Linked DNA regions of Schizosaccharomyces pombe. The protein of the gene in region 1 purifies or fractionates together with the protein of each later gene. This does not show direct contact. Each region holds a gene or a part of one and is shown on either strand. Other genes may lie near its edges. The genes, in order: brr2, gih35, prp17 and lea1.

Region 1 (7,928 bases):
ATTACTGGACAGGCGTTAATGGCTTTAGATTCTCGTATAATTCCACTTTTTAATCCTTGATTAATTTCATCATTCATAGCTTGCATTTTTCCCGGTGGTAGCGGGTAATTTCTGATAGGTAATCTGTAGTTTTCTTGAGTTAGTTCAACTTCAAATTCTAACCCTTTTATTGGCTTTGGTAGCTTTTCCGTATTGGTTTCTGCAGTAATGTCTTTGAATTCTTTATAGATATCTGGTAACTCAGGTTCCTTGACAATATTTGAAACTTTGTTCATTTGAGAGAGCGTGTGTTTACTGCTAGATATTTCAATGTTATTGTCATATAATGTTGTGAAGGAGATAGCAGCTGGATGCGAAAATTTCTTTACAACCAAGAATTCTGTTTTGATTGATATTCCATTTAGACTTATGTTAAGTTTTATTGTTTTGCGATTAATCTTATTTGGATAAACTCCACCATATATCACACTTTTTGACCAGGGTCTGGTAGGCAGTTTATGTGCTCGAACAGTTTCTTCTGTTATAATATTTGCTTGAGCGCCCGTATCGATTAGACAGGGTATTGAGCACTTGAAGTCTGGAAGTTCAGCTTGTAATACCATTTCGTAACGTTTCCTAGTATGATTTAGGAATTTGTTAGATGAGTATTCTATTCTCGAAACATTTGTCTTCCTCAGGTTTCTGCTATTAGTGGTGTTATTTTTCTTTGAAAGGGACTCTTTTCCTAGATTTTTATTTTGCAGTTGAAAACGCTTGTGAGTTTTACCATACGAGGCTGTTCTTTTGTCCTCTAAAAAGTCATAAATTTCACTGATTTCTGATTTCCAGTAATTTCTTTCCTTTAATTTCCTTAAGGAATATGGCAGCATCCATAATATAAACAAGCGAGTATGGAAATCATCAACATTTGCTTTTGACATGAGTTTCCTTATAAATTGAACTTTGTCCAATTGATTTCTAAAACCTTCAAATGTTTTAGTTAAACGATCACCTTTGTTGGATCCTTGTACTTTCCCTGTTTGTCTGAGTAATTCTTGCCATGTAAGACTTCCATTCTCAGAAAACATGCGTTCAGCGAATTGTTGCTCTAATTCTTCTAGGTGATTCAATGTATACTGTCTTTTAGTATGCTCATTTGGGAATAATGAAGGGTATTCAGTAAAGTGTTGATCAAGTTTTGAAATGTAACTTTCAACATCCTTATTAGGATCGAATTTCCCTATCTCTGGTACATGCTTCGATAATATTTTTGCAAAAAGGTTTATTAAATGTTCGTCTGATGTTTGAATTCCATCCAAATTCTCTGGTCTCCATCGTTTTGCTCTTGCTTTCATATAACGATAATTTGCGTAGGACATTGTATATGTTTCCCTTTGGGAGATTTCAAAAGGGATAACAGTCCTTCCAAAGTTCTTTCTCCTTTGAACCCAGAAGGAGAGAAATATATATATTTATGATATATATTTATTCAATAATTCCTTTTTCCTAAAAGGAGTTAATTGTAGATCACAAGAGTTCAGTTATTGTAAGCTACGCAGTTTGGTATCTGATTTAAGGATACGTAGAACTGCGGTGAGCTTTCCTTGTGATCTATTATATTACAATACACAGGTTGTATAAGTAGCAACTGAGTATAGGTATTGTATTAACTGGGTTATAATGTTACCTATCACTAATATAGCTCATAACTGAACTGAGGAACGAGGTTCAGCAGTAGCTCTATTTATAGTATTCAGATAATATTGATCTTAATAGATTATCATTAAGATCAATCTCCATATCGTATCATACATGGTACGATATATAATTAGAACATGTGACATATAGTGATACTCAACGTAGTGTATTATAGCGTAGTGTAGTATTGCTGACAGAAATGAACACTTCTAATACCTCGAAGTAGACGAAAATTGAAAATTCAGTTTATCCTCCGCCACTCACAATCATGTCGAGTGCACATCCTAAAGGGGACTCGAAAGAGCCTCCCAAACATGGAAATAGTAAGGAGAAGCCAAACTATGGTCAATCACAGTATAGTTATTCTGCAATGTCAAATTTGGTTACGCAGGCTGATCGAAGATTTGTGTCACGACGTGATGCTGAACCTACAGGCGAACCGGAATCTCTGGTAAATCGAGTTAGTATTGCAGATATGGGTTCTAGAGCGAGAATTGAAAAACCTAGTACCCTTCCTCTCGAATTGACGCAGGAAGTTCAGGAGGTCCGGTTACCTCGTAAAGATGCAGAATCCTTAGAAATTGGTATACGGCAACCTGAACGCGAAAAGCGCTCTTCAGCGATACTTAAATATTTTGATTCTTTTGAAATTTTGAAATATAATCCTCTAACCGACGAGACCCGAGAAGTTTATGATTATATCTTGAGTTTCATTCAACAATACCTTGGCGATCAGTCTCCTGAAATCCTCCGTTCTGCTGCTGATTTGATTATTGAACTTCTTAAGGATAGTTCTTTAGATGAACAAGGTCGTAAAAAGCAAATAGAGGAGGTTTTGAGTACTGAACTCCCACAGGATCGGTTTTCACAGCTCGTTAACTTGGGAAATCGCTTAACAGATTATACAGTTGAGCAAGAAGAAGAGTTAAATGAAGAAGGCGTTAATGAATCTGGCGTACCAGTATTGTTCAATGAAGCCGATGAAGAGGAAGAAGCTGTTGAGGCAATGGAAGAGGATGAAGTGGCAGAAGATGAAGACGTCGTCTTAGAAACTTCCATATCTCAAGAAGAAGAGAAAAAGAATATTGAAAATCCGGATACAGAGGTTACATTTATTTCTGCTGATACCAAAAAAGTTACCGAAATACCCACTGTTCATCCTCGTGAAATCGATGCATTTTGGCTGCAACGAGAAATAGCAAAATATTTTGCTGACGCCGTCGTTTGTCAGGAAAAAACAAATCAAGCGTTTGAGGCACTTTCGGCTGATTACGATCTCGGTGAATTGGAAAATGAATTGATGAGTATTTTTGATTATGAACATTTCTATCTTGTTCAACTTTTGACTAAGAATCGTTGGACAATAGTTTCGTGTACAATGTTAAAACGCGCCGCTACTGATGAAGAACGCTTAGGTGTGGAAGAGCAAATTCGTGCTGCTGGTCGGTCTTGGATTCTCGAAGCTCTACGCCCTGGTGCTATCACTATACCTGATGACGGTTTAAATGAATTAAATAATAATGTTGTTGAGAAAGCTGAACCTGCGCCCGTTTCTGAAATTCCACTTTCGAAAACTTTGACTTCCCATAAAATTGTACCTAAGCACCAAGTTGATCTAGAAAATTATGTGTTTACTGAGGGATCACGTCTCATGTCTAATAAAGCTGTCAAGCTACCTGAAGGCTCGTTTCGTAGGACTGGTAAAGGGTATGAAGAAATACATGTTCCTGCCCCCAACAAAGCCGTACTTGGCGCTGACGAGCGTCTTGTAAAAATCAAGGAACTGCCTGAATGGTCTCATCAAGCTTTTCTTAATACTCAATCTTTAAACCGAATCCAAAGCCATCTTTATCCTATCGCTTTTGGTACTGACGAAAACATCCTTTTATGCGCTCCTACTGGTGCTGGAAAAACAAATGTAGCAATGCTATGTATCCTTAACGAATTACAAAAACATTTACGTGAAGATCTTAGCTTTAACTTACAAAATTTTAAAATTGTTTACATTGCTCCCTTGAAGGCGTTGGTACAAGAGATGGTTAATAATTTCTCAAAGAGGCTTACTCCATACAATATTCGAGTCGCAGAGTTAACTGGTGATAGTCAATTGACTAAACAACAAATTAGTGAAACTCAAATAATTGTAACCACACCCGAGAAGTGGGATATTATAACTCGAAAAGCTAATGATTTATCTTATGTCAATCTAGTCCGTTTAGTTATTATTGATGAGGTTCATTTGCTTCATGATGAACGAGGTCCTGTATTAGAATCTATAGTTGCTCGTATATTTCGCCATCAGGAGGAAACTCTTGAACAAGTTCGATTAGTAGGTTTGTCTGCTACACTTCCTAATTATACCGATGTTGCCAGTTTTTTACATGTCGACCCTAAAAAAGGGCTTTTTTACTTCGATTCGACATATCGTCCATGCCCTTTAAAGCAAGAATTTATAGGCATTACAGAAAAAACACCGTTTAAACGAATGCAGACGACTAATGAAGCTTGTTATGAAAAAGTTATGCAACACGCTGGCAAAAACCAGGTCCTCATATTTGTACATTCGCGCAAAGAAACCGCTAAAACCGCTCGTTTTATAAGAGATAAGGCACTAGAGGAAGAGACCATCGGTCATTTGTTACGCTCTGATGCCGCATCCCGTGAAATTCTTCGGGCTGAAGCCGACTCTACCAGTGATGAAAATTTGAAAGATTTGCTCCCATATGGGTTTGCCATACATCATGCTGGTATGCGACGAGAGGATCGCCAAACGTCTGAAGACCTTTTTGCCGATGGTACTATACAGGTACTAGTGAGTACGGCAACTCTGGCTTGGGGCGTAAACTTACCAGCGCACACAGTGATCATCAAAGGGACCCAAGTTTATTCTCCTGAAAAGGGTATCTGGACAGAACTCTCTCCTCAGGATGTTTTGCAAATGCTTGGCAGAGCTGGTCGCCCACAATTCGACACATATGGTGAAGGAATTATCATTACCGCCCACTCTGAGTTACAGTATTATCTATCACTAATGAATCAGCAGCTTCCAATTGAGTCTCAATTTATGCGCCGTCTAGCTGATTGTTTAAATGCCGAAGTATCGTTAGGAACTGTTCGTAGTATCGAAGATGGCGTAGACTGGCTTGGTTATACATACCTCTATGTTCGAATGTTACGATCCCCTGCCCTATATAGCGTCGGCCCAGAGTATGATGATGACAAATATCTTGTTCAAAAAAGAGCTGACTTACTTCATTCAGCTGCCATTTTATTAGAAAAATGCAAGTTACTAGTGTATAATCGTCAGAGTGGTACGTTGACCGCTACGGAATTGGGAAAAGTTGCTGCAAGTTATTACGTTACTCATAACTCGATGGCCATATATAATCGTCTTTTAATGCAGACAACATCCTTTATCGAGTTATTTCGAGTCTTCAGTTTTTCTGATGAATTTAAGCACATTCCTGTCCGTGAAGAAGAGAAAGTTGAACTCGCGAAGTTGCTGGAAAGAGTACCAATTCCTATTAGGGAAAGATTAGATGAACCTGCTGCCAAGATTAATGCCCTTCTCCAATCATATATATCAAGACAACGCCTGGATGGATTTGCACTTGTGGCAGACATGGTATACGTTACGCAATCAGCGGGTAGAATTATGCGTGCAATATTCGAGATATCATTGAGACGTGGTTGGTCATCTGTTGCAACACTCTCTCTTGATACATGCAAAATGATTGAGAAAAGGCTTTGGCCAACTATGAGCCCCCTTCGACAGTTTCCCAATTGTCCTTCTGAAGTAATACGCCGCGTTGAGAAAAAGGAATTTCCTTGGCAGCGATACTTTGATCTGGACCCTGCTGAATTAGGAGAATTAGTAGGGGTGCCAAAAGAAGGGAGGCGTGTGTACAACATGGTTCAGTCTTTTCCAAGGTTGAGCGTCGAAGCACATGTTCAACCTATCACAAGATCGCTTGTGCGGGTCGAACTTGTTATAAATTCTCAGTTCAACTGGGATGATCATTTAAGCGGCACTTCTGAAGCTTTTTGGATCCTTGTAGAAGACGTGGACGGGGACCGATTGCTACATTATGAACAATTTTTCCTTCTTAAAAAATACAAAGATGATGAGCATATTGTAAATTTTACAGTACCTTTGTTAGAACCTCTTCCTCCTTGTTACTTTATAAAGATAGTTTCAGATCGATGGTTACACTCGATAACTAAGGTACCTCTTTCATTTCAGCGCCTGATAATGCCAGAAAAATTTCCTGCGCCAACACCTCTTCTTGATCTTCAGAACGCCCCGGTCTCTAGTCTTAATAACCCAAGCTTCATTTCCCTCTACCCTAATTTTAAATTTTTTAACAAGATTCAAACACAGGTGTTTAACTCTGTTTATAAAACCAACGATAGTGTTTTTATTGGTGCTCCCAATGGAAGTGGAAAGACTGTTTGTGCCGAACTTGCTTTGTTACATCATTGGAGTCAAGAAGATTATGGTACTGCAGTTTACATTGCCCCAATTCAGGAAATCGTTGATCGTCGATATGAAGAATGGTATGGCAAGTTTTCTGACCTCGGTGATGGGAAAGTTTTGGTAAAATTGACGGGTGAGCGTTCACAAGACTTGAAGCTGATACAAGTTGCTGACTTGATATTTTGCACGCCATCGCAATGGGACTCATTGTCGAAGAGATGGAGAAGTATGCGAAGCATTCAGAAAGTTGATTTTTATATATGTGATGAATTACAATTGCTTGGTGGATTTTATGGTCCATTATACGAAATAGTGATCTCACGGATACGGTACATGGCAGTACAATTAGAAAAAAATATCCGAGTGGTTGGCCTTTCAGTATCTGTTGCTAATGCTCGAGATTTGGGTGAGTGGCTTGGGACTAGTCCACAATGCATATTTAATTTTAGTCCTAAAGACAGGCCTAATCCTCTTACTATTCATTTGCAATCATTCAGTATTACTCATTTCCCTTCCCTTATGTTGGCTATGAGCAAGCCTATATATCGCAGCTTGAAGAACTTTATTTCTCAGAGAAAGTCTACTATTGTATTTACTCCTGACAGGAAAGTAGCGAAACAATTAGCTTTTGATTTAGTTACATTCAGTATGGCTGATGAAGATGAGTATTTGTTTTCGTTAATGGAGAATGAAGCTTTCAATAAAGTTGAAGATGCTGCCTTGCAGCAATCATTGAAGCATGGTATTGCTTATATTAGTGAAATCACATCGTCCAATGATCAGAATATTGTACAATATCTTTACCGTCATGGACTTATCAAGGTTTTGATAGCTTCTCGCGATGTTATTTATTCCTTAAAAGCAAAATCAAACGCTGTTATTGTGATGGGTACTCAATACTATGATGGCAAAGAACATCGTTATATTGATTATCCTATAAGTGAGTTATTACAAATGCTCGGGTTTACTGCTAGCATTGGATCAAGTGAGCTTAGCCAGGTTATTCTTATGACTGTCACTACTAAGAAGGAATATTACAAGAAATTTTTAAATGAGCCATTACCCATGGAAAGCCATCTTCAAGTTTGGCTGCACGATGCTTTCGTGTCAGAAATATCTACGCAAACCATTGAAAGCAAACAAGATGCTGTAGATTGGCTTACATGGTCGTATATGTACCGGAGACTAGTTGCCAATCCTGCCTATTATGGTCTTCAAGATATCACTCATGAGTCGGTTTCTGAATTCCTTTCGGATCTTGTAGAAACAACCATGAATGATTTGAGTGAGGCACGCTTAATCACTGTAGACGATGAGGATGATAGTTGTGTCGCATTAAATTTAGCAATGATAGCTTCTCATTACGGAATTACATACATTACTATGCAAACGTTTGCTTTGAGCTTGTCAGAGCGCACGAAGATGAAGGGATTACTAGAAATTGTTACATCAGCAGCAGAATATGAGCAACTCCCAATTCGAAAGTATGAAGATATTGTGCTGGAGCGAATTCATTCCCGCCTGCCTGTTCGCTTAAGTAATCCTAACTATGAAGATCCTCATACGAAATCATTTATTCTTCTTGCAGCTCATTTTTCTAGATTTGAATTGCCTCCTGGTTTAGTTATAGATCAGAAATTCATTTTGACTAGGGTACATAATCTTCTGGGCGCTTGTGTTGATACATTGTCTTCCGAAGGCCATTTAATAGCTTGTATTAGACCAATGGAGATGTCGCAAATGGTTACGCAAGCTTTATGGGATCGTGATAGTC
Region 2 (4,682 bases), 660 kb from region 1:
TTGGGTTGTTTAGTTTAGATTATCAATCGCAATGGTTTTCGGGATGGGATGACACAGATCCAAATCCCAAAATACCATCTCTTGGTCTCGTTTGGACTAATAACATCAGTACGAGATTAGCATTAATTAAGAAAACCGACTCTGCCACCAATAATTCGGGGAGAATCTTTCGGGTTGTTTATTCACCAAATTCTCCAAGGCTTGACGTACGAATATGCATAGGATCGGTTGGGATATATTCGTGCTAGCATTTTTGTAAAAATTTTATATATAATATAATAAAACCGGTTTATGAATTGCCCTAACTTTGTTTAATCGACTGTCGCTTATCAATCATTCGCAGAAAGAAAAGTAATGCTTTGAGTAACTGTTACATATATAAGTGTACTTATTTATCTTTATATTTATATTACCTCTGTCACTATTAAATATATATTTTGTTGATCTATGATGGTAGTGCATTTTTATTAGAATCCGACATACTTTAGTGGACTGAATTTTGGATATACCAGTTGGGTATTGAAATGGAAAAAAATACAATAAAAAGTTTTACACGTAACAAAGAATGCCCAAAGAGCTCTCTTAACCGACGAATGGCTTTTTCTACCTGTTTTTACTATTGCGCGTAAAAGATTTTGTAAGACCTTTCCGATAGCTTCCGCTATTGGCGATCCTTTAGAAATTTGCACCTAACATTTTTACCAAAAGCCAAGTATGCATTGGTGATATCTTGTAAATAAAAAATGAACATTCTTTTATAACATAATCGTTACAAAAATAGAACACAAAAATGTCAGTTCCAATTGATCGAATCAATACGGTTGACACTTTAGCCAATACACTGGAAAGTAATTTAAAGTTTTTTCCAGAAAAAATACATTTCAACATCCGGGGCAAACTAATAGTCATTGATCGCGTTGAACTTCCAATATTACCAACTACCGTGTTGGCACTTCTATTTCCTAATGGGTTTCATCTGCTTTTAAAACATGAGGGAGGTGATGTCTCATCATGTTTCAAATGCCACAAAATCGACCCTTCCATTTGTAAATGGATTTTGGACACCTATCTACCATTATTTAAAAAAAGTAATAATGCTTATCCCTCAAAAATTGCATTTAATCCTATATCGAATACTACCCTCGTTTTATTCTTAACAGAATGTTGCAATATCTATTTATTTTCTGAAAATAAAAAGCCCGTCGACCAAAAAATCAGGAGCGACTTATTAGAGCAAACTTTCAAGAACAACGACGTTTTTGAAAGTGCAGACAAAAAAAAAATCCGAAAAGGGCTGAGTGATGGACCGCTAGTTGATGCATTACAGCATTGTGGATTTCGCTACAACGATAAATGGGCCAAGAGAGTAAAGGAGCCAAAATTAATGAGCTTAATGTCGTATATCATAACAACAGTCGAGAGCTCCTCATTAAGCGAAGAATTTTTGAGTAAAATTTTGAAGCTATGGGGACAGCCAGGTAATAAGTGCTGGTGGATAAACGAAGTTATAAAAGTAAACGGATCTTTAATCAATGTTTGGAGGAGAAAGCAGTGGTTGTTGGAAGTTACGATTATGGGAAATCGTGAAAATTCTCAAGACTAAGTGTTTTAGTAAAAATAAGATTAAAAAACATTTTGCTAAGTTAGGCCGTGCATGCAGCCATTCTTTTAACAGATACCAATGTTACGAGGTTTCCCAGATTTTACTCAAATTGCGTGATAATTATTGTAGTATATTTATTTTGAATAATAATTTTTTATTTGAATTTTGTTAATACTGTTTTTTATAAATATTACAATACGTTCAATCTAGTTGTGGTAACATGAAAGTGCTTCCACTTACTTGATGCTCTCTACGCAAGAGTATGCCTAATGAGTTTATTTCCCAATCGCTTAGTACTCTTACAAATACACCCTTAAATATTCAGAAAAAGCTATTACCAATCACCAAATACAGTATGTAGCTGTTTTACCCTTACATTGCTGACGTTACATTTAGGAAACCAGTTGTTATATGCAGTAGAGCAAAATCAGATTACTATAGTGTTAGGCCACACAGGATGTGGTAAAACAACTCGTAAGTATTTTGATTAGATGGTTTATTAAACTAAAAATAATCTTGAAGAAATCCCTCAATTTTTATACGAAGCTGGATGGGCGTCCCAAAACGGTATTATAGGATGTACACAGGTTAGTCACAACTTTGTTTATTTATCATCCTCCTAACTTATTTGAAAGCCCAGAAGACTCGTAGCAAAGAGCGTCTCTGAACGAGTATCTTTGGAACTGAACTCTCCTCCTGGAAGTTTGTGTGGATATAGCATTCAATTTGATCATAACGTTTCTGAAAAAACAAAAATAAAATATATGACCGATGGAATCCTTTTGAATGAAATATTTTTTGATCCTTTGCTGGAAAGATATTCAATAGTCATTCTCGACGAAGTCCATGAACGAACTTTGTCGACAGATCTCCTACTAGGAGTTTTGAAAAGGTATTTAAATTTTCTATTCATAGCTGACAAATCAAGGATTTTAGAAAAGAGGAATGATTTTAGACTTGTGCTCTCCAGCGCTTCTGTTGACGCGAATAAACTGTCTCAGTTTTTCGGACAAGATAAAGTATGCACTATGTCAATTGAAGGGAAATTATTCCCCGTAGAAACATTATTTTTGCAGAAACCTACAGAAAATTACGTTGATTCTGCAATCGAAACGGTTATAAACATTAATTCAACCTATCCGCCTGGTGATATATTGGTTTTTCTTTCGGGAAGAAAAGAAATAGAATACTGTATAAAAAAGATTGAAGATTCCTTAATTCATGCTTCCGAAGACTGTCAAACTTTAGTTCCTTTACCTTTACATGCTGGTCTTACTGTTGACGAGCAAATGCGAGTTTTTAACATATATGATGGTGACTTCAGAAAAGTTATATTTTCTACGAATATTGCTGAGACTAGTATTACTATTGATGGCATAGTTTATGTCGTTGATTCAGGTTTTAATAAACAACGGATATACAACCCGTATACAAGGACTTCAAAATTGATTAACGTGCCTATATCTAAGTCAAGTGCTATACAGAGAAGTGGAAGAGCTGGAAGGACAATGAGGGGAAAGGTGTTCCGTCTATATACTGAAAAAGCTTACAGCTTGATGAAAGAAGAATTTGAAGCAGACATCTTAAATTGCGATATGTCACCGTTGGTGTTATTTTTGAAAGGTTTAGGGCTAAAAAACATACTTCAGTTTCCCTTTTTTGTCCGTCCTCCCACAGTTCACCTTATGGCGGCTCTAGAGGTTTGTGAATTTTATTATAGCCGGCAAACAACTAATTTTTTTGAAGGACCTCTATCTTTTAGGTGTCTTGGACGAAAGTGGAAATTTGACAGACCCACTTGGCATACAAATTTCCAACTCATTCTTGGATGCAAACATCTCCAAAGCTGTACGTACTCCCATATAGGAAATAAAGTACACGCTAACCCATCATTAGTTACTTACTTCCAACCAATTTGGTTGCACTCATGAAATTCTTTCAATTGCTTCAATACTTACAGCAGGCGAAGTATTTTATAATCCCACAAGTTCATCAAAGAATGATGCCTTCGTTGCCCATTCTTCTTTTTTTGCAAATGAAGGGGACATCATTACCGCATTAAATGGTATGCTTCATTAATAAAGTTTAAAAGTGTATTAACATTTAGTTTTTGAATCTTTTGTCGGTAACAAAAAAGATTTACAATGGTGCAGGAAAAATTATTTGAACTATCAAACTTTGCGCCAAGCCCTTGACATTCGCACTCATTTGGTTCGTTTTTTAAATAAATTTTCTATACCTACTGCTCAAAGATTACCATCCAGTGATTGTTCCAAAATTTTGAAATGCCTACTTGATGGTTTTGTGCGTAACGTCGCACATTTACAGAATGACGGCTCTTACAAAACAATAGGAGGAAAGCAGGTTTGGTTAGACTCTAGTAGTGTACTTCATGAAAAAAAAACACCATGGATCATGTATTCTTCAGGTAAGCCTATTTGTTATAAGACTATTTTAACGTTTTAGCTGTCGAATCAGAAACTCAAATATTCGTGAAGAATATTTCTAAAATAGAAAGTTTTTGGCTGGATAAATACTATAAACGAGAAAAATAATATATGTTAATACAATTTCATGTTACCGGTTTAGCATAGTAAGTTTTGGTAGTTAAAACATATGTTGACCTCACTTCCACCAACTTGCTCAATCCACCCCATTATGAGTGATTTGGAAAAGGTAAGAGAAAAATTTCAGCTAATTGCTAATATTGGCCCATAGATTCGTCTTAAAAGGCTTGCTAAATTGCAGCAGACCAATTCGGAGGCAAATTCTTCTAAAGAACCTAAGGAAAGCAATATTGCACCTGAACCTAAAAAACCTGATTTAAAAAAGAGATTTATTGGTTCAAAGGCTACAACATCAAATTCAGAACAAAAAGAAATATCTCCACCTGTTACATCTGGTGCTCCAAAACATCGCTTGTTTTCTAAGGATGAATGGATGCATTTTATAACATGTCAGGCTCTTAATATTACATTAAGTGAAACTGATTCATCAAAATACTATTTAGAAGGTTTTAAAAAAGATTTAGAAGAAGAGGGATCCCCTTTATTATTTAATGAGAATAATGTTGACTCTG
Region 3 (5,565 bases), on another chromosome or scaffold:
AGTCTTCAGGAGATGACGGGAATTGATCGTTGTTCTTTATGATATTTTTAAAACATTCAAGCGCATCTGGCATTAGGCTGGCGTCTTCAATTACGGATTCTTTAACAGTTGATAGGTACTGAAGATAGCTATCATCTATAATTACAGTTTTTTTAAGAAAAGCATACATAGTTCCAACAGTTATACTGGACCCAGCTTGTCTGTTCATAACAAAGTGGGTAGTAGCATCGCTATCGCGTAGTCCAGTCGGTATACCTGAAAGTTGATAAGAAGTGAAAAAAAAAAAGACCGAAGTACCTAAGAGGTTTAAATTTGAAGCCCACTGGGATAACATTTCAGGGTTATCGAATTGTATACACATACTTCTCCAGTATGCACTTAAAGTTAGTAAATCATATATAGTCGATAAAACTTACTTTATCGTGAATGGACATTTACCCAGTTGTATTTTAAGATCTTTTTCTTTGTAAGAATCACCATTTTGACCAACAACTTTTTCATTAACCTTGGTTCCAAACTTCGTATCGAGGTCCTTTACTTCAAACTCGCATGGGCCACCGGTAAACTGTGCACATATTAGCTGGCATTGATTTAAAATATAAGAAAGATAAACATATAATAGAAATGAAAAATGAAAAGCTCAATATTTCCATTTAATTGGATACGTACGTAGTCTTTCTCACTTGGGGTCAAAATCGTAAAACGAGCATGGCGTTTACTAATTGATTTAGAAATCACTTGAATGTGGGACGAATCGTCTGCAATATTAGAAAATTAACAAAAATAAGAAACTTACCAGATACATTTCGACCTACAATATAAGTTCCTGGAAATAGTATCCGTGATTTTCCTGCTGTTTAGTACGTACAATACGGCCATAATGAAATTGATATAGCTAGTAAGAGATACCTTTTAGAATGTCACCCTCAGCCTCAATTATCCACATTTTTTCAACATAAAATTCTTTTTATTGAAAAAATTCAGAAACCAGAATGCTGTTTTCACAACTGAGGATGCATAGGTGCGTCGCTTTTAATTTTAGTACAATTGAAAGTAACAAAGTAACCCTTTATGATGTCCAAAAGCCCTTCGTTAAATTAGAAGCTAAATCTACTAAACCAATTCTTGAATTTGAATTGACAAAGCTTGCTTTTCAAAGCTTTCTTCAAGAAAAAGTTTAATCAACAAAAACTCTTAAAAAATTTATAATTTCAAAAAATTAGACTTACACAGGTTCTCTGTCCTAGCCTTGCAAACACAAAAAATACTGTGAGTACACTAGAAAATGAATTTACTAAAGGGGTAAACTATCGTACCAAAATGAAATTTTTAAAGTCATGAGCTTATGTGAGCAAACAAACTTCAATTAAATACTATTTATCATACGTCGTGTATATGCACTACTGGATAACTTCTTTTACAGTTTAAAAAAGTCCATGCCTCTTTAAATAACTAACTTTATTTCTAGTTTTTACTACATTCCTTTATTTTTTAATCAATGAATTATCTATTACCTATCCTAATAAGCAGAAGTATGAGTTAGCTGTAGTGTTTCATTTTCGCTAATTGATATTAGCCAGGAATCTCTCATCCTCGCTAAACCTCCCTACAGCTTAATCTTCCTTAAACCATTACCATACGAATTTGCTGGTTTCATATTCGCCGTTTGCAATTTCTATGTTGGTTGCAAACTATTCTAGTGATTCAGAAGAACAGGAGAATTCCCAATCGCCTAACATCCAACCTCTTCTGCATACTGAAAATTTAGCGCCAGCTGTGGTTGATAACGTATTTATCAAATGTTTTTTATAACATGCTAATCATTTTAGGTAAAGGATGATTTAATTGTTTCAAAGGGAGGAAACTCTAGAGAATTAGCGCGTAATGTCCCGGTTAATGAAATGGTGCAGCCTGCTTTAGGGCCTGCAAATCCATTTGTCACTAAAGAACAGGATTCTATAAAGAACAGTATTACCGGTTATGCTGAGAGGGAATATGTTCCAAATTTTGTATTTAATCAAGAATATTATGCTAATACACATGCTATTTATGGAAAACGAAATTTTGATGATAACGAAGCTACTACTTCTACAGATTTAAAAAGGAAGTCCCAGAAAATAAAAGAACGTAGAGAGGATCCTGGCGATCCATCTATCCTTGAAGGGGATGGTGCTTATAAGGGGCCATGGGCCGGATACGGTTCTGAACAATCCTCTTCACCTTTGGAGTACAGTGAATATGAAGAGGTTGAATCCCTGGATGTCAAAAGTGAAAAGGATACGGAATCTAATAACCTGGGTCAAAATGAATTATTGAAGGAACAATTAGCTACTCCAGAAGTTGAAACTCATCGCTCTAAAGAAGAGACTATACTTCATAAAGATAGATTATTTGATTATCAAAATAGAAGCTATATGCATGTCCCGAATGACGTCGGAATAAATTTATCGGAAGAGCCTGGTGAACAAACTTGTTACATTCCAAAGAAGCATATATTCACTTGGAAAGGTCATACGAAAGGTATTTCCTGCCTTAGGTTTTTTCCGATTAGTGGCCATTTACTTCTTTCTGGCTCAATGGATAATCAGATAAAGGTATGTTTGTAAGCAAAAAGATGATAAACTAATATTTAGATTTGGGAAGTTTACCATGACCGTTCTTTGCTTCGTACATTCCAAGGACACGCTCGTCCTATCCGCGATTTATCATTTAGCCAAGATGGACGATCATTCTTAAGTACTAGTTTTGATAAAACAATTAAACTCTGGGATACCGAATTAGGGAAATGTTTGAACTGCTTTAATTCAGATAGATTAACAAACTGCGTCAAATTCCAAGTAGATCCTGATAAACCCAACGAGTTTTTAGCAGGAACAGCTGACAAAAGGATCCTTCAATTTGATATCAGAAGTCCTGATATTGTTCAAGCATACGATCATCATCTCGGCGGAATCAATTCCATAACATTCCTTGAAAACGGAAAGCGCTTCGTTACCACATCTGATGACTCTTCAATGCGATTTTGGGAATACGGAACTCCAGTTCCTATAAAATTTGTGGCTGACATTGCAATGCATTCAATGCCTCGGGTTGCCTTACGGCCAAATGGAAAGTCGATAGCATGTCAATCTCTAGATAACTGCATTTACGTATATTCGGCATACGAGAAATATAGACAAAACAAAAAGAAGGTCTTTAAGGGATACAGTTGTTCAGGTTATAGCCTAGAAGTTGGATTTTCACCTGATGGTATGGCGTTCATTTTTTATTACGAATTTCTAACTAGTTTTAGGGAGATTTGTTTTTAGCGGAGATTCGAGCGGAAATGCCTGTTTCTGGGGTAAGTGCTTGGAATTGGAAAAACACCTAACATTTTTAGATTGGAAAACCTGTAAGCTAATGGCTAAACTCCCGGCTCATAGTGGACCCGTACAAAGCATGGCGTTCCACCCTCAAGAAACAAGCAAGGTAGCTACATCATCTATAGTTGATGGGTCTATCAAATACTGGGATTAAAAAGATTGTTCATATTTCTTGACCAAACAGCGAAATATATACATTAAACTAACGTTTCTTCTATTCGCAAAACTTAAAACCTTCCCCAGTCTCAAAATCCTGAGATGCTAAAATATAGCAATCCATAGCCTTTCGGAATCTATTTTTGTATTGCTTTGGAGTAACAATTGTTGGTTCAGGACCTCTACCAACTAAGCCTTTCTCCTTTACCCAACTTTCAAGTTTTTTGTCCCAAGTGTATGTTCGTATGAAATCAATTATTCCAACATAAAGTTCTTTTTTTGTATAATCAATACCAACAATTAAAGAGTAATCCATGATATTGAGTTTTGAGAGGAACAATGTATCATTCCAAAGGCAAGAATGCAAAAGACTTTTTAGTTGTTCACTAACAAATATTGGAGATTCGTAAATAAGTTCAACCAAATTTTCATCAAGCAATACTTCATCTACCTTCCCTGTAGATTCTACATGTCGATTCCTCATGGAACCTTTAAGATCAAATATTCTAGACGGACATTCATCATAAAATACATTTTCCATAATCATTATATCAGTCTTACAGATTGTACCAGTAGTAGGATTTCGAATGTCTACGCGGTAAAATCCAAAGATTTTAGTCAATGCAGTTGGCAACTCGTGAAAGAAAACTTTAGATATGTAATCAAAATAAGCTGGAGCAAAATTAAGCAAGGAGTCACTTTCCAACCTTGACAGAACTTTGAGAATGTATTTCTTATCGAAAGTTTTTAAAAATGCTGATCCAGATTTTCCACCGCTAGATTCCCAAAGAGAACATCTCGCTAGAGATGTCACAAACGTCTCCTCACAGCCACAAGCTCTTCGCAAAGCACTAAATTGTTCCGCGAAAAAGACCTTACAGGATAGTCTTGCTGATCCTTCTTCAAACTGGTATTTCAAATGCGTCCCCGTTGGTTTGAGCATTAAGTTTTCAATTTTGAATTGCGTCGAGCCTTGTAAGCCTTGATTGGTTAAAGCTTCGTCCATGCTATCTTCAATTTCTACCATTTTTGATAAATAGTCAGGAGAGCTAAGAGTAAAACTTATCAAGGAGCTAGGTTCGTCTTCCCTTATGATCACATTTGAGTCGGAAAACATATGCTCTGTAGGTTGTAGAGGAAATTCAAAAGGTGGAGGATTGAGGGAGTTCCATTCATTCCAAAATGCAGATAAAATCCTGTAAACTGAAGTTTTGTCAGCCAAAGGACCAGAAGTTGGCAACTTTGATCCCTCTTTATCCATTTGACTAGAAGGTTCAAGGTTTTGCTGTTCTTCGAGGCCAGATTCATTTTTGAAAAGAATTCCAAAAATATCTTCAAACGCTTCAGGTGAATTGTCTTCATTCGAAGAAACATTTTCTCGCTCCTTGCTCATAGAATCAACTCCAGAAAAATTGCTTTCGGTAGCGCGATTTTCTTTTGTGTCATTAATGCCATTCTCATCTTCGGAATTTTCATCATCAAATGCTTCATTAAGGTCATTAAATACTTCTACTACCGGCTTAGATGGGACTACAGGAAGAGCCCGCTTGCGTCGAGCCTTTATTAATTCTTCATCTCGTTTTTGCTTTTCTTGTAATTGTAAACTTAGCTCTTCAAATCTACGCACTAAAGAGCTAACCCGCACATCTTTTGCTGGAATGGGCTTCCTGGGTGAGTATTTTGTAGAATTCTGTATACTGGAAATTTTTGCAGATATTGAAGAAGAAATAGGCATGTTCATCCCACTTGTTGAAGATGCATTGACAAATCGCCTGTCACTGGTACTAGCACTTTTCCGCTTATGAGAAAGCATATTAACGCCTTGTCTTTGGCTTATATTTGGATACGTTTGTCTACTGAAACCTGAATTTGAGACCGGAGAAGCTGGAAAAGTGTTCTGAGTAGAAATATCATTGGTAAAATCGATGTTGGCTTTAGGAATATCGGAAGATGTTGCTACTGAAAAGCAATCAGATTCTGGAGAACCAACATTTGCCATACTATCTGCATACGGAGCAACACGCTTGTTTGAAGCAACATTAGTTTG
Region 4 (3,233 bases), on another chromosome or scaffold:
TTTAAAATCTTGACCTGTGCCTTTCGAATATTGCTCATATTAATTAAAGGACGAGGAGGAGGCGCTTCTACTCCTTTGTGAGAATCAGGTGCGGAAGATACGCGTCTAAGGCTGGGACGACTATCCAATTGATCGCTACTATCATTCAGATCTAATTCATTCAATTGATTAACATTAATATCAAAGGTTGAGTCATCAGAATCATTATCCCTCTGATCATTTCGGACACTAGTAGAAACGGTTGCCGCTCGATTCCTACGAAAGTGAAACAAATTTTTCAGTTTATCTGAAAAGTGCGACTGGCTCATACCATCATCGGTGGAAGAGGGACTTTTGTCATTAAATTCAGTTTCTCGAGCCATTCTAAGTCATCCATTAATCTCGTAGCGCTTCAAACATTCACCGGTTAATAAATTTCGCTGACGGCTCACTTATAATACCTAATATAAATCAGAATGTAAGCAAACTTGAAAAACGACTTCAAAGCTCCCAAATAGTCTAATATAACTAGCCGAATGGTATTCCTCCTGCTTATATTAATTCTTGTTTCATTTGGAGGTGTCGGCAAAAGAATAGTTAGTGGAGCCACGGCCATCCTTATGTTATATAATCCTCTTTTTAAGCATATAGAAATAAACAGTCATATTGTAGCATTAACTAACAAGCAGCTTCAAAATACTTAGTTGAAGCTATTGTAAATAAAAGAAAAAACTTGTTTTTGGTTTTTATGTGTGGGTATTGATCTGTAGTTTTGTAGTAAATTCAGTTTGAATAATTCTTACTGGAACAGAATAAGTGTTAGAATAAATGCAGTGATTTTTAATTTCATATTCTCAAGAGTGACTGTATGATTTATAAGTACACGAGCTATGGAAGCACAACATTTAATCATGTATTTCTTCCACTTTCAACTACAAAAGAGGCTACTCTAAACCCAAACATTATCCGAAATGTCGATGTACATTTGTCGATATCGCTGGCATTTTCAATTAGTCCGACTCATGTGGTATTAGTATGAGGATGGATAGTTGATTCGATATTAGAAGCTGTCATATCAATTTAAATATAATTTCTTAGCAGTGCTTTCATTGAGATAGAGCAATACGATAGAAACAATCTGAAGAATTCATTAAAACTGTTACATTAAAAAACGACTTGATGTCAATATTGTTTTTGGAATGTTTTTCATTAAATGAGAAAACAAAAAGATATAGCAGTTTAGTAAGTATCTCAATGCAATTTTTTAATAGGAAAACAGGTTCCTTAAGCAACTCTGAATAATTGTAAATAACCTGGTTTCAAACTTTCGTTGGCGGTTTGTGCTCACGAAGTCAAATAGGGAGGCAGTATGAACATTATAGATGAGTTGAACTAAAACTTTGAGTGGAAAACAATGTGTGTTTCATCCAAATAGTCGATTGCTTGTGTTTGTTTTTGAGAGCTCAACAGATAAAAGAGTGTGTACCAATTTCTGACAAACTTAAGATATATATTTGACAACAATGAAAAAATGTTTTATTTAAAGGTGTCAAAACACACATATACAAAAATCATTTATTCTCTGTTTTCCCAAGAATTTTCTAGTACGAAAGCCGATTCTTGAACATGGAAGTCGTCAGTCAATTATCAAAGTATAATTACGCATAATTTGTTTTTTTTAAATCTAAAAAGTAGAAAAAGTGAGTATTTTTTGCTTATTGAGTCAAGATTTCTTTGTATTTATTTATGTGCTTACTATCCAAACTCTACCACTTTGCTTCTTCTCTTGACGTGTCATATTCTTGGTTTTTACATAATTAACTTTACATTATTAGATTCTAAAACGTTAACTATAACATTTTTTGAATAAACAATAGTGAAATTTAGGATTGTGAGCGTTTTGGATAATTTTTTAGGAATTTTAAATCATACTGCAGTAACAGCATAAAAAAGGCATTTTCATTACAAAAATTTCATGCGTCTTAATGCTGAATTTTTGTCTCAGGTACCCTCATTCATCAGTCCTTTGAAAGAAACTGAGCTTGATTTAAGATATGTTTAAAGAAATTACTGTATGCTACGTGTCATCCAGCTAACTCATAATTACAGGGTATCAGATTCCAATAATTGAAAATTTAGGAGTGTTAAGGGACGTACACGATGCAATTGATTTCACAGACAATGACATTCGATATTTAGGGAATTTCCCTCGTATGAAAAGGCTTCAAACGCTTTTGTGTGGAAATAACCGAATAACTGCTATAGCCCCAGACATAGGTAAAGTTCTTCCGAATTTAAAGACTTTATCCCTAGCACAAAATCATCTTCAAGAAATAGCAGATTTAGATCCGTTGGCTAGTTGTCCTCAACTCACTAATTTGTCGTGCATTGACAATCCAGTTGCTCAAAAACAATATTATAGATTATATCTTATATGGAGAATTCCTTCGTTACATATTTTAGATTTCGAACGGGTTAGAAGAAATGAAAGGCTTCGTGCTGAAGAAGTGTTTGGTCAAATTCAAAACCCTACAGAAATAGCTTCCTCTATTATGGGTGTGAAAAGTCGAGTATTTGATTTGGCTGCATTGGTACAAAGCCACCCAGAAGCGAATTCTCCTATTACAACTGGATATACACTTACACCTGAGGAAAGAGAAAAGATCAAAGAAGCCATTAAAAATGCCTCTTCCATTGCTGAGATAAATCGACTGGAAGCTATGCTATTAGAGGGGAAAATTCCAAAATAAAGTAACTCACAAGATTTCTAGAAACCGCATAGTTATATAATACATTTTTTCCATCTCATTTCTTGCATTCGATAGGTAACGCGTTTAATAGTTATTTAAGGCATCAAATCGTTAATCGTAAACAAAAACCGTCAATTCTTTAATGCTGTAGCAATTTAGCAATCCTTTCGTTCCTCGTGAGTAATCAGAATTATGCTGTATTCATTAGCTTTAAATAGTAATGATAATCTTACCTTCCAAATATTCCGCAGTGACCAATAATTCTAAAACCATCTCAGGTGGGATATCGAACTTTGGAATATCTAATTGATTTTTATATCTGTAATTGTAATGCAAATATTCACAAACTTTTTCCAACAGTGTTGCCCTAGACACCTTATTAGAATTGAATGAATAGACCAATTGCATACCGTATATCAGGAAATGTGCATTCATTTTTTTGCGCCTCAGAAAATATTCCTATACATTAGAATTACTTTACTAAATATCATTATCAAACCTTCG

Evidence for each region.
Region 2: the proteins of brr2 (region 1) and gih35 purify together in Schizosaccharomyces pombe (affinity purification with mass spectrometry; 2 studies listed by BioGRID). This does not show direct contact.
Region 3: the proteins of brr2 (region 1) and prp17 purify together in Schizosaccharomyces pombe (affinity purification with mass spectrometry; 2 studies listed by BioGRID). This does not show direct contact.
Region 4: the proteins of brr2 (region 1) and lea1 purify together in Schizosaccharomyces pombe (affinity purification with mass spectrometry; 2 studies listed by BioGRID, with this or other methods). This does not show direct contact.

Annotation. Positions count from the first base shown.
Region 1 is NC_003424.3:1,459,277-1,467,204, reverse strand, and holds the start of brr2 (U5 snRNP complex subunit Brr2), read left to right. Parts: upstream 1-1,925; 5' UTR 1,926-1,945; coding exon 1,946-7,928. Other genes in the region: Tf2-1 (retrotransposable element/transposon Tf2-type), read right to left, coding at 1-1,358. UniProt on the Schizosaccharomyces pombe protein: Involved in pre-mRNA splicing. May be involved in endoplasmic reticulum-associated protein degradation (ERAD) and required for growth at low and high temperatures. Required for pre-spliceosome formation, which is the first step of pre-mRNA splicing.
Region 2 is NC_003424.3:2,124,202-2,128,883, forward strand, and holds gih35 (ATP-dependent RNA helicase), read left to right. Parts: upstream 1-1,855; 5' UTR 1,856-1,865; coding exon 1,866-1,956; intron 1,957-1,999; coding exon 2,000-2,077; intron 2,078-2,125; coding exon 2,126-2,190; intron 2,191-2,238; coding exon 2,239-2,495; intron 2,496-2,531; coding exon 2,532-3,303; exon of another isoform or gene 3,304-3,349; coding exon 3,350-3,451; exon of another isoform or gene 3,452-3,499; coding exon 3,500-3,668; exon of another isoform or gene 3,669-3,710; coding exon 3,711-4,031; exon of another isoform or gene 4,032-4,069; coding exon 4,070-4,158; downstream 4,159-4,682. Other genes in the region: rad57 (DNA recombination mediator, RecA family ATPase Rad57/Rhp57), read left to right, coding at 1-248; whi2 (phosphatase activator), read left to right, coding at 791-1,603; ufd2 (ubiquitin-protein ligase E4), read left to right, coding at 4,262-4,279, 4,322-4,682.
Region 3 is NC_003423.3:2,649,969-2,655,533, forward strand, and holds the start of prp17 (Prp19 complex WD repeat protein Prp17), read left to right. Parts: upstream 1-1,625; 5' UTR 1,626-1,677; coding exon 1,678-1,788; exon of another isoform or gene 1,789-1,829; coding exon 1,830-2,594; exon of another isoform or gene 2,595-2,633; coding exon 2,634-3,249; exon of another isoform or gene 3,250-3,292; coding exon 3,293-3,340; exon of another isoform or gene 3,341-3,379; coding exon 3,380-3,516; 3' UTR 3,517-3,576; coding exon of another isoform or gene 3,577-5,565. Other genes in the region: Mre11 complex BRCT domain subunit Nbs1, read right to left, coding at 1-255, 298-377, 417-565, 670-758, 797-850, 910-946; 1-phosphatidylinositol-3-phosphate 5-kinase Fab1, read right to left, coding at 3,577-5,565.
Region 4 is NC_003423.3:4,144,785-4,148,017, reverse strand, and holds lea1 (U2 snRNP-associated protein Lea1), read left to right. Parts: upstream 1-1,747; 5' UTR 1,748-1,954; coding exon 1,955-2,035; intron 2,036-2,096; coding exon 2,097-2,729; 3' UTR 2,730-2,733; downstream 2,734-3,233. Other genes in the region: serine/threonine protein kinase Ppk22, read right to left, coding at 1-362; elc1 (elongin C), read right to left, coding at 2,920-2,924, 2,963-3,096, 3,140-3,188, 3,229-3,233.